3 linked regions of the Callithrix jacchus genome follow. Each later gene encodes a partner of the first gene's protein in a complex. Links are inferred from orthologs where the notes say so. Each region holds a gene or a part of one and is shown in the gene's direction. Other genes may lie near its edges. The genes, in order: KPNA4, NFKB1 and RANBP3.

Region 1 (3,647 bases):
TTTGTGTGAACTCTCTTTTTTTTTCTGGGCAGAATCTTGCCCTGTCATCTGGCTGGAATGCAGTGGTGTGATCTCCGCCTCCTGGGTTCCAGCAATTCTCCTGCCTCAGCCTCCCAAGTAGCTGGGATTACAGGTGCCTGCCACTCTGCCCACCTAATTTTTTTTATTTTTTAGTAGAGACCAGGGTTTTATTATGTTGGCCAGGCTGGTCTTAAACTCCTGACTTCATGATCCACCTACCTTGTTCTCCCAAAGTGCTGGGATTACAGGTGTGAGTCACTGCACCCGGCCTGTGTGAACTCTTTCATTTGATGTCTTCTTTTTTTATTAGAAATATTCTTAGAGCTTTCTTGAATTTCCTAAGAAACAGTGGCAAAGCGCTGTTTTCTCCTTTTAGGAATTTCTATGTGTCCGTTTTTTTTTTAATCATATTTTTTCTTAAGCATAACGTTGGTTTATAGTTTTTTAGTGAGTTTTGTTTTAAGTCAAGGTTTTAAAACAAAAAAAAAAAACAATGCCTGGCTAATTTTTTGTATTTTTCATAGATACTGGGTTTCACCATGTTGCCCAAGCTGGTTTCAAACTCCTGGGCTCAAGCAGTCCACCTGCCTTCATCTCCTAAAGTGCTGGAATTACAGGCATGAGCCATCACTCCCTGCCTGGTTTACAGTTTTAAAGGTTTTAGACTTCTCCAGCTTGTCTCAACACAGAGTTCATATTCCAGAAAGACTTTGGAAGTAGTTTTAGGCACGTTATTATTATTTGTCAATAATTTGTGTATTTATTTGCAGCAGTTACAGTTGTTTGTCATACTGCCCTTCGGTCATAACTTCTAATTAGGACCTGACATACTAGGAAAGATCAAACACATGGCCCATTGTACTTAAGAGATAATCATTAAAAAATGGCAGGCTACTTAGTAAGTTGATTACACAGGCTGCACTTTTTTTGGGGGGAGGGGGGTAAATAGCAGCTGTAGTGAAGTATGTATTTTTTGTTTTAATTATAGATCTCACAGACTGACCTGTGATTATTTAATAATCTGCAGCTGTAGGGGACTCCCACTATTTAAGAAGTTGACTACAGTTCTATAAGGCAAAACAAACTGATTGGAAAAGATTAAACTATTATACTATGATACAAATACTTGGGTTATTGGCTTCAGGCATATCTACATGGTACTTATATTACTAGAGAACTCCTTGAATATATTCATGTAGTTCAAATGGTTTGAACAGCTGTGCATGTTGGATACATATAGTCTTTCCAGCTCTATACATGAACCACAATGTTTTTAGACCTATTGTCCCTCAACCTTTGGGAAACAGAATGTCTTTTTCTCCTATTTTATGTCCTGTGTAGTGTGCGTGTATTTCTTAGTGAATTAAGATTGTATACTAATCTGGGATCAGAATCCTGAATATGGCTAAAATACGTACATCTTAATACAGACATTTATAGATGATTATGTTTAATACAATAGTGAGCAGATTCCAATGAATTGAACTGAGAGAAAAAAGGAAGAAGGTAGTAGAACAATCTTAGAATAGTTGTTTGGTCAAGAATTACTAAAATGAGAAAATATTTAAAAGTTGTTTGAATTTTTATTTTATTCATTAGATATTGGTAGATACAGTCTGGGCCCTCTCTTACCTTACTGATGCTGGCAATGAACAAATACAGATGGTAATAGACTCTGGAATAGTTCCTCATTTGGTTCCTCTTCTCAGCCACCAGGAAGTTAAAGTTCAGGTAAGTTTGTTCCTAGTAAAATTATAGGTATTTCTTACCACTAATTGCTTTAAGTTTAAAGTATATTCTTAGCATAACAACAAATCTGTGATTGAGAGAGTGAGTTATTTTACCACCATTTTAAAGAGGAAAATAAATAATAAGACTCCATTGTAGATTACTAATTTTTTCTTTGAGATGAGGTCTCACTCTGTAACCCAACCTCCGCTTCCCAGGTTTAAGCCATTCTCCCACCTCAGCCTCCTGAGAGGGTGGGATCACAGGCACATACCATCGTGCCTAGCTAATTTTTTTCTATTTTTGATAGAGTCAGGGTTTTGCCATGTTGGCCAATCTGTTCTTGAACTCCTGGCCTCAAATGATCCACCCACCCCAGACTCCCAAAGCGAAAGGTGTGAACTACTGTGCCCGGCCTGATTACTGATTTTTAATGTAGAACAGGGAAATTCATTATAGCAACATGCATGACATCTGAAACAAGTATTGACAGGCACTTATTTTTCCTACTCCTTTTTATTCTTCCTCTTTGACTTCCCTACTTTTTTTTCCCCTTGCCAGCCATCCTTTTTTTACTCACCTGGCAACTATAGTTAACTCTTAGCTTCACTGGTGCTGAAATAAAGGCACTGTACTGAAATGTACTGTTTAGAGGCTCATACCTATAATCCCAGCACTTTGGGAGGCCAAGGTGGGTGGATCACAAGGTCAGGATATCAAGACCATCCTAACCAATATAGTAAAACCCCATCTCTACTGAAATGAAAAAGAAAAAATTAGCTGAGCATGGTGGCGTGTGCCTGTAGTCCCAGCTACTTGGGATGCTGAGGCAGGGGAATCGCTTGAACCAGGGAGGCGGAGGTTGCAGTGAGCCAAGATTGCACCACTGCACTCCAGCCTAGCAACAGAGCAAGACTCCGTCTCAAAAGAAAAGGAATGAATATAAAAACTTGTCATTTAAGGGCATTTATGACTTATCTTAAATATTCTTGCCATATGTTTATTCTTAAGTTTATTTTGTGTGGTACTTCTGTCTTGGTACAGATTTTGGTTTGTATTTTGTTCTTGTTTTTCCAGAATGTATCTTCAGTTTTCGTGCTGGACTTCACTAAGAATATAGGGCTTGGAATTTACCTTTAGCCAGTGCTCAAGGAAATTCTCTACTCTACCTGACACCTTACAGGGATTTTCTTAACACCTTTCAACTTTCATGCCATAATTTTGCAAAATAAAATAGTGTCATGGAACCCTATGTAACTTTTTCCTTTGTACCTCCACTCACTCCCCCAAATTATTTTGATACAAGTTCCAGATACCATTTTATGCAGCTTGCATCTCTAAAATTTAAGCCTATTTTTTTAACATAACCACAATACCATTAGTACACTTTTTAAAACCTTAGTTTTAAATATCCAATTGATATCTACTGTTTCATTATTTTTTCACAATTTTACCCAATCAATATCCAGACAAAGACTACACATTGCATCTGCTTACTATGTATTTTAAGCCTCTGTTACTGTGCAACTTTCTTCTCCTTTATCTTTCCTCTTTCAATTGATTTGTTAAAGAAGCTTGGTTACTATAAAACATTTTTGGAAGACATTAAAGAAAACCTAAATAAATGGTAAAACAGTTCGTGTTCATGGATTGTCTAATACTGTTAGGATGACCAACAGAGTTTGAGGACTTCTCATTTTCAAAATTCTACAGAGCTATAGTAAATAAAATTTTATGATACTGGCATAAATATAGACATACAGATCCATGAAATAGAATCAAGAGTTCAGAAATAAACCTGTACAATTTTCTTTTCTTTACTTCTTATGAGACAGTCTTGCTCTGTCATCCATGCTGGAGTGTGGGTGTAGTGGTGTGATCTCGGCTCATTACAACCT
Region 2 (4,112 bases), on another chromosome or scaffold:
GAATCTTCTGAATCCCAGCTGCTCAGCCTCTGGGAGCTAAATGAGATCTCTTAAAGGTAGACTGCTAGGTGCGGAGGCTCACCTCATAGGCAATCAAATGGATCTGTTTTTTTTGTTTGTTTGTTTCGTTTTTATTTTCCATAAAAACACTCCACCAAGAAGGTTCTTATGACCTACTGGAGAAGGAGGACAGAAAGTGGGCATGAAAGGATTAGGATGAACATGCCATAAGCAATCTAAATGTCACTGCGACATTGCCTGGTGCAGACCTGATTACTGATGTTTTAAAGCTAAGCTTTCAGTTGTCACTCGACCCAGTAGTTAAACAATGAGCTCTAAAATATCTATTTCGGCTTAACATGCTTATGTGGGGAGGTAGTCCACTACCAACTTCTCCCCAGCCTGTGCCTAGTACAGTGCCCAACACTAAAGCAGTTCAGATGCCAGTGAATGGTGGTGGCCACTGGGAGGCCTGTCTGTGGGTGCCAGTAACGATCTCTTCAGAGAAAAAGAAAACTCCCCTCTGTCAGATCAAATGCATTCCTACCACCATCACTATGATTCTATCCACAGTAATTATCATAAAAGCCTAACAATATCTGGTAGATGAATGTTCTGAGTAAGTGTCCTAACCAGATTTAAGACTGCACCAAAACCAGTAGAGGTTACTTCACTTGACACAAGTCGGTTATGATATCTAAATTCTAGTTTAATCTGCGAAGAGATTTGAGTGTAACTGAGACACACTTAAATGGAATATACAGATGAGCTTTATTTTTATATCTGGCATGCTTGGATCCATGCCGACCCTCCAGCTGCTCGGGCCTGCCCTTAGGGTCTCTGGACCGCATGACTCTATCAGCTGCACCGCCGCCGCCGCCGCCTCCGCGCCGCCTGCGTTCCTAGACCATCAGGCCCAGCAGGCGCTTTCTGGGGGCGTCCCTACCGGCTCCAGCCCTCGGGGTTCGGGAGCGCCTGGCTGGGAAGCCAGAGCCCTGCAGGGTACCGGGGCGTCCTGGCCTCCTAACGCGCGCCCCTCGCCCGGCGCCCCGAAGCGGCCCCGAGGGGCGGGAGCCGAGCCCAGAAGCCAGGCCGGGCCTGGGGCGCAGGGCGCCCCCATAAATGCGGGCTTCCCCCACCCCCGCCAGCGACCCCACCTCCCGCCCCCGCTGCGTGCGCGCGTGTGTCAGTCTGTCTGTATGCTCTCTCGACGTCAGTGGGAATTTCCAGCCAGGAAGTGAGAGAGTGAGCGACAGAGAAAGAGAGAGAAGTGCACCAGCGAGCCGGGGCAGGAAGAGGAGGTTTCGCCACCGGAGCGGCCCGGCGACGCGCTGACAGCTTCCCCTGCCCTTCCCGTCGGTCTGGCCGCCAGCCGCCGCCGCCCTCGGCCTGCACGCCGCCGCCGGCCCGGCTCCCGGAGCCCAGCGCCGCCGAGGCCGCAGCCGCTCGGCCAGGAAGGCGCGCCGCCGCCCGGCCACAGCGCGCCCTGCGCTTCCCTCCGCCCGCGCTGCGGACATGGCGCGGCGCTGACTGGCCCAGCCTGGCCCCGCTGCGCTCTCGCTCGCCCCGACCCGCACCCGGGCCCGCTCGGGCTCCGGCCGGCCGCCGCCTCTTCCTTCTCCAGCTCTTAGGCCCGCGCCGCCCGGGAGGGAGAGCCCACCCGCGACAGGAAGCCGAACGCTGACTCGCCACCCGGGTAAGCCAAACTCGGGCGAGTGGGGACCCGGCAGGGTACGCGTGGCCCGAGTCCCACCACCCAGCCCTCCGCACCCCTCCAGCCCCACTCGGACTTCCTTATTCCTGCGCTAACCGCTGGGCTAGACCGTGGGAGAAGGTTGACAGTAGCTGAGAGGCACAAGGGATTGGAGACAGCGGGGAAAGGCACATCCGGACCTCGCAGGGGCTAGTCGGCCGAAGGGCCGCGGCCGCCGGGCGGTCATTCCTCTTCACGTCCTCGGCGCATCCGGACCTTGCAGGGGGCTACTCGGCCGAAGGGCCGTGGCCCCCGGGCGGTCATTTCTATTCACGTCCCTCCGCGGGGCGGGAACGCTAACCGGTGGGGAACTCTTACAAACTTTTAAAATCCCCACCCCCAGCCGCAGCTGGGGGATGGTGAGAAGGTTGAGGTGCGCTGCGGCGCGGAGGAGAGAGGGAAGGTGGTTGGTGCAGTGCAGAACCAGATTTCACCTAAGGGCGTTCCATGAAATGAAAGCAGAAGTCCTTGTCAGTCCTTTTGGCTGGGAAAGCCCTCTCCAGCTCCCCAGAATTGAATAGGAGAGTCTATTCATCCCTCTCCTACTTCTAAAGGAAGGCTGTCCCTCCCTCCCTTCCTCTCTCTCTCTCTGTCTCTCTCTCTCCCTCCCCCCTCCCTCCCGCCCTCCCTCTCCCCCTGCCCCCCACCCCCCAACCCACCACACACACGATATAGTCACTTGCATACTTAGAGCACTTTTTAGACTTGATTATGTAAAACTCTTGGACAGAGTCACCATGCATTGTGCATGACCTCCAAAACAAAAAATAATGTAAAAACAATGCCTAACCTAAATGTAAGTTTTCCTATGGTCTTTAAAAACATATACACCAGGGGATGTTTGCCCTGGCTTACTGGTCTATCCTGAAACTCAAATGGGACTTAATGATACAGGATTTAATTATCAAGATTCAAGACATTTTCATGTACTCTGTTAAGTAGAGGTTTTCAGCATTACAGTTTATGAACTAACTGTATTTAACCTAAAGATTTTGTTATAAAGCTCATAATCTGAGAAAATGCTTATGGTATTACTAAAACATTGACTAGCTCTGGCATCAAAATATTCTTCTACACACTGGTGATCTTTAGTAAATACTAAAGGTTGGGGTCATGATGTTCCATACGTTTTTTCTAGCAGAATCCGACAACTGAATATTATCAAGCAGTTTAAAGTGCATTCCTGTTTGTTAAAACTTTAAAAGGGAAACTTAAAACTGAAGTATGTTTTTTTTTCCTAATTATAATACTGTGCTTTCTAGAGGTGAATCCTTTTACTGTTTGAGGCACTATGGGAATTATGTATTTAAATTTGAAGCAGAGTACTTTTTTTAGTTTATAAACTTGGGAAAGCAGGAAGTAAAAAGATCTGTTCCTTGTAGAATTTTACATTCATGATTTAATTGAATTGCTAAAACGAAAAGAGCTTATACGATTAATGGAGACATGAAATCTGAGATTATTCATCCATATTGATATACCTGCAATTCCTAAATAGCCTCCCCTGCTTGTTTAGATAAAATGTCTTCCTGGGCTACAGCCTGCTGGACAAACTTGAACACAAAGGAACACGTTATATGTATGCTTAATACTGCTGCTTGCAGTGAAAAAACCACTTAAACTCTTAGAGACTTTTTAAAGAAAACAGTATAATCCTGGGTTGCTGGTGATTTAAAAATCTTATTATCTTTTTTTTTTTTTTTGAAATTTCTTATGTTCTGCATTGGTACTCACTTGTGCTGAGTAAATGCCCCTGTTTTTCAAACCCAGGTAGTAAATATGGGGGTATACATTGCAAAAATAGTCCTTCCCCTTCCCCTTTGTAAGCATTGCTTTGATCTTTGCACTTCCTTTTTACTCTACCTCTTAAACAAGATCTGTGATGGTTGAGTTGATTAAAGCAAATTAATCTGAAATTGGCAGAATTTTATATTTAGTGATCATATTCCTTACATTTCTCTTGTTACTGTTCCTGGAAACAAATTGAACTAATTTGAGAAACTAATATTTATGCAGGTTGCTTTAACCACACTTTTAGACTTGCAGATAATTGATGGAGTAAGTTACTACCTTGACTTTCAGGGATTGCACATTGTGGGAGAGATAGGGAATTGACAGCTACATGAATCTTGGATGATCCTTCCATCAGCAAGACCTTATTTTTACCTAATTTATGAGAGGTATTTCTCTGTTCAGAGGAGGTGAAAGTTCTGGCTTTTGGGGGAAGTGGTTGCTTCATAACCTTCAGTTGGTTTGAACTTGGGAGAAGTAAGACGAGTAGTTGATTTTTCAAACAGTAACATAATTGTGTCTGAGTTGCTATATAGATTTTTTATAAAGTACTCAAAAATGTCATCTT
Region 3 (3,647 bases), on another chromosome or scaffold:
TAATATCCTCCAATATGTAGTCTATGTTTTAAGTTGTCCTTATTGTCCCTCAGATGTCTCAAGAAGTCTCATCAACTTTGGGACCAGCTGACTTCCCTTTCAGTAAAGGAGATCTCAGACCACCCGATGGGATGCAAGTAAAAGAGCCCCTTCCTCTCCGCACCCCTCACACCATTCAAAGAGACAGCTCCATATGCTCAGGTTTTACTGCCGAATCATGATTGAGAAAAAGGATTTGGAGTTGAAAAGGCCTTAAGCTGCTAGCCCAGGAGTGTTTTGTTTTTGTTCAGTGGTAAAGCCACACAGCAGTTTTCAGATCCCGTTGATGTGCCGCGTTGCCCTTCAGCACACTACCGGTTGGGACTGTGGCCTGCGTGTGGGTGCCAGTGGTTCACTGAGCCTTGGGTCAGGTTGCCAAATCCTACCAGTGTTCCAGGGTAGAAAAAGCCATGTATGGTTTTAATTGTAGTCCTAGCGCCTAAAATGAAGTCATGGCCCGGTTGGCGGCACAGGAGCGTTATTTCCTGGGCTTCCTGGGGAGGGCTCTGCCGTAAGTGCACATTTACAGGCACCATGGTTGGGGGTGGCAAAAATGAAAACTTTCTTAACTGCCTTGGATGGAGGCAGAGTTCTTTCTTTTCCCTTTTTAATGTGACGAGAATGTAAATATCCTTATGTGGGCTGTTCCATTATTTGTAAACACTAAACATTTATTTAATTTCCTCTCTCTCCAGAGCATTTGTTAACCTGAAGCAGGGAGGCCTTGAGCTTATGCTAGCAGAATCATGCCCATTTGGTAAAACGACAGAAGGCAGTTACAGAAAGGCTATTTAGCAGAAAGTATAGTATGACTGAAAATATGGTCGTAGAGTGTTGAGACCTATTTTTGTGGCTTACTGTTAGGGCGATGGGCTTAGCCCTGGTGCGTGTGGTTCTTGCCAGCCATGTGAATGTTAGGATAAGGTCAAAGGCTGGCAGAATCTTGATGTCTGATTTTACCAGGCATGTTGAAAATCGCAGGCCTCATCTTGGTTCTTTAGAGCTTACTCTTCCTGCCCAGGAGAAATGCTAGCACCCGGGTAGAAAATGCTGGAATAACACTGGTTAATTCTCCCAAGAAATTTTCTAATCTGAGAGAGGAAGTGATGTAATACTTCTCAACACTTGTACTAATCAATTCTTTTTACCCAAAGATGATGAATTTCATCCTGTTTTGATGTCGGGATTTCCAATTTATGACTTTCTTCTTGGGCATCCTGTTCAGCATTTTGAATTACATGAGGGTGTTTGAATATTTGTACTTCAAAAGCAGGGGTTGCAAAAAATTCAGGTGGTTCTAATTAGAGATAGGCAGTACCCCACAGAGCTCTGGGTTTGATTTTTCTCTTTCGAGGTCTTAAGTGTCTAACCATAAAGTAGCACCAGACATGGGTGGCCAGACCGACCCCAGTGCCCTCCTGTGCAGGTTTAGAGAGCAGCTGGTTGTGGGTCTGCCCTGGGTAGAGAGAGGCGACAGAGTCCTTTCGAGACGTGGATTGCTTTTGCTTTCCTAGGAATTTGTGAACATTCTCTCACATCCTCTTTCGATAGTTCCGTTCCTCCTCCCAGATCCCTACGTTTTAAGTAGTGCCCAAGCCCTGTCTAAAGAGATCAGCCGCTTCACACTCAGAAGAAACACCGCCATGTCCACAGGGAGACGGGGCAGCCCTGTACTCGTTTAGGTCACCAAGTACGAGAAATGGCTCCATGTCATTGGACAATGCCAAGAGGGAGGTTTGGGGACTAGAGCCTGTCTGTTTTAGGACGCCAGGTGTATAACCCATTTCTCAAGAAAAGAGTCTTGGAGTTATGGCCACAGAGCTCTCAGCCCATCGAAGCCCTGCCGGAGTCCCAAGAACCACCTGAAGGGATGCCAGGTGTTGTACTGTGGGGAGGAAGACTCCAGAACCGGCTGCTCTCAGCTTGGCAGCTTTCCAGTGAGCCCTTGCTGAATGAGTAGGGATCTTGCTGAGGATGCACCTGGGAGAATCCTAGGCCCAAGGGCTCTGTGATGTGCCCCCCTCCTCCATCTGAACTACCTGCCTACCGCTGAGGCAAAAACCAGCTCTTGGGTGTCTGTGTCACCCCACACCGGCACTCACTGAGGTGGAAAAGCACTTTCTGCATCCTGGGTGTAAGCAGAACAAATGGAAAGTGCCAGAAGAACTGTAGTGAGAAACAGAAGCCCTTGACCCCTGCCTCCCTGGTTTCTCCCTAACTGTAGGGTTCCAGCCCCACCTTCCCCTTTCCTAAAGCACAGAAATGGTGCTGATGGCCAATTCCCCCACTTCAGTATTTCTGAGATACTAAAGGAATTTAAATCTTTTGCATGATCATCTCTGTTCCTTGATCACCAAGGCCCATAAGCTGAGTAGCTCCTTGTCAGGCAGACTATAGTTTTGGAAACAAGGGTCCTGCTTCTCACATACTGCAGAGCTCCTTGCAAAGTCACATGGCTCCCAGTCCCATTCTCACTTTCCCTTTCGTCAGCCATGAGAGCCGGTTTTATTGAGTAGAACCCAGCAGCAAGTGCCTGCTCTCTCCACCGTCCTTCCAGGCACAGGAGCTGCTGCAGGCCGAGCCATCTCCAGCCTCTGACCCCTGCCTGCCCTCCCTGCTGTCTGGTGCAGGCTTTATTCACATTGAAGGAAAATTGTCTTTTGTGCTCCCAGTCCCCTGCAGAGCAAAAAGACTTGTCGGATTCGGGAGAGGAGCCTCGGGGGGAGGCTGAGGCCCCCCACCATGGCACGGGTCACCCCGAGTCAGCTGGCGAGCATGCCCTAGAACCTCCTGCCCCTGCTGGCGCCTCAGCCAGCACTCCTCCGCCTCCCGCTCCTGAAGCCCAGCTTCCTCCTTTTCCGCGAGAACTGGCAGGGGTAAGTCCACACCTACCTGGCACTCCTATTGCCCAAGGAGACGCCAACCCAGACCAACTCCTTTCCCTTGGGTCCCTCAGATCCTAGCCCTAGCTCATTGTAATAGGCTGATGGTATCTTAAAAGATGGCAAGGAGACTGGGCGCAGTGGCTTACGCCTGTAATCCCAGCACTTTGGGAGGCCGAGGCGGGTGGATCACCTGGGGTCAGGAGTTCGAGACCAACCTGGCCAACATAGTGAAAACCCCGTCTCTACTAAAAATACAAAAATTAGCTGGGCGTGGTGGCGCATGCCTGTAATCCCAGCTGCTCGGGAGGCTGAGGCAGGAGAATCACTTGAACCCGGGAGGTGGAGGTTGTGGTGAGCTGAGATCGTGCCACTGTACTCCAGCCTTGGCGACAGAGTGAGGCTCCTCTCAAAAAAAAAATGACAAGGATTTCTTCCAACTCTCTTTTAATTTGTGCTGCGGAAAAGTCAGGGGTGATCAAGTCCCTTTTTAGCCTTTTCTAAATTGGGGGAATATATACCCGCAGCAAGAGGTGAATCCTGTTTCCCGAAAAAGACATGAGGGGTCAGGAGGAATTCAGTCATGTGAAGTAGAACCTTCCGCAGCTGATCTGACCCCTTCACCCTCCTTCCATTTTTCTTTCTTGTTTCCCTGAATGCGGGCATTGAAGTTTAGCATCTTAGAAACCCAAGAAGCTAAGGCTTCCTTTGCTATCTAGGAAGAGG

The links.
Region 2: the proteins of KPNA4 (region 1) and NFKB1 are in contact, whole or in part, in a crystal structure (PDB 7LFC), measured with the Homo sapiens proteins. The link is inferred for Callithrix jacchus from reciprocal best matches to the Homo sapiens genes KPNA4 and NFKB1. Residues at the interface, in NP_002259.1 of Homo sapiens: Arg96, Lys97, Leu99, Ser100, Ser101, Asp102, Arg103, Pro105, Phe133, Trp137, Thr140, Asn141, Ala143, Ser144, Gly145, Thr146, Ser147, Thr150, Gln176, Trp179, Gly182, Asn183, Gly186, Asp187, Asn219, Trp222, Val225, Asn226, Arg229, His230; in NP_001158884.1 of Homo sapiens: Glu357, Glu358, Val359, Gln360, Arg361, Lys362, Arg363, Gln364, Lys365, Leu366, Met367.
Region 3: the proteins of KPNA4 (region 1) and RANBP3 are in contact, whole or in part, in a crystal structure (PDB 5XZX), measured with the Homo sapiens proteins. The link is inferred for Callithrix jacchus from reciprocal best matches to the Homo sapiens genes KPNA4 and RANBP3. Residues at the interface, in NP_002259.1 of Homo sapiens: Arg96, Leu99, Ser100, Asp102, Arg103, Pro105, Phe133, Trp137, Thr140, Asn141, Ala143, Ser144, Gly145, Thr146, Ser147, Thr150, Glu175, Gln176, Trp179, Gly182, Asn183, Gly186, Asp187, Asn219, Trp222, Val225, Asn226, Arg229, Asp261, Trp264; in NP_015561.1 of Homo sapiens: Asn114, Tyr115, Cys116, Pro117, Pro118, Val119, Lys120, Arg121, Glu122, Arg123, Thr124, Ser125, Leu127.

Annotation. Positions count from the first base shown.
Region 1 is NC_133518.1:24,784,987-24,788,633, forward strand, and holds part of KPNA4 (importin subunit alpha-3), read left to right. Parts: intron 1-1,620; coding exon 1,621-1,752; intron 1,753-3,647. UniProt on the Homo sapiens protein: Functions in nuclear protein import as an adapter protein for nuclear receptor KPNB1. Binds specifically and directly to substrates containing either a simple or bipartite NLS motif.
Region 2 is NC_133504.1:94,841,827-94,845,938, reverse strand, and holds the start of NFKB1 (nuclear factor NF-kappa-B p105 subunit), read left to right. Parts: upstream 1-1,239; 5' UTR 1,240-1,696; intron 1,697-1,893; exon of another isoform or gene 1,894-2,086; intron 2,087-4,112.
Region 3 is NC_133523.1:5,604,634-5,608,280, reverse strand, and holds part of RANBP3 (ran-binding protein 3), read left to right. Parts: intron 1-53; coding exon 54-137; intron 138-2,711; coding exon 2,712-2,915; intron 2,916-3,592; exon of another isoform or gene 3,593-3,647. UniProt on the Homo sapiens protein: Acts as a cofactor for XPO1/CRM1-mediated nuclear export, perhaps as export complex scaffolding protein. Bound to XPO1/CRM1, stabilizes the XPO1/CRM1-cargo interaction. In the absence of Ran-bound GTP prevents binding of XPO1/CRM1 to the nuclear pore complex.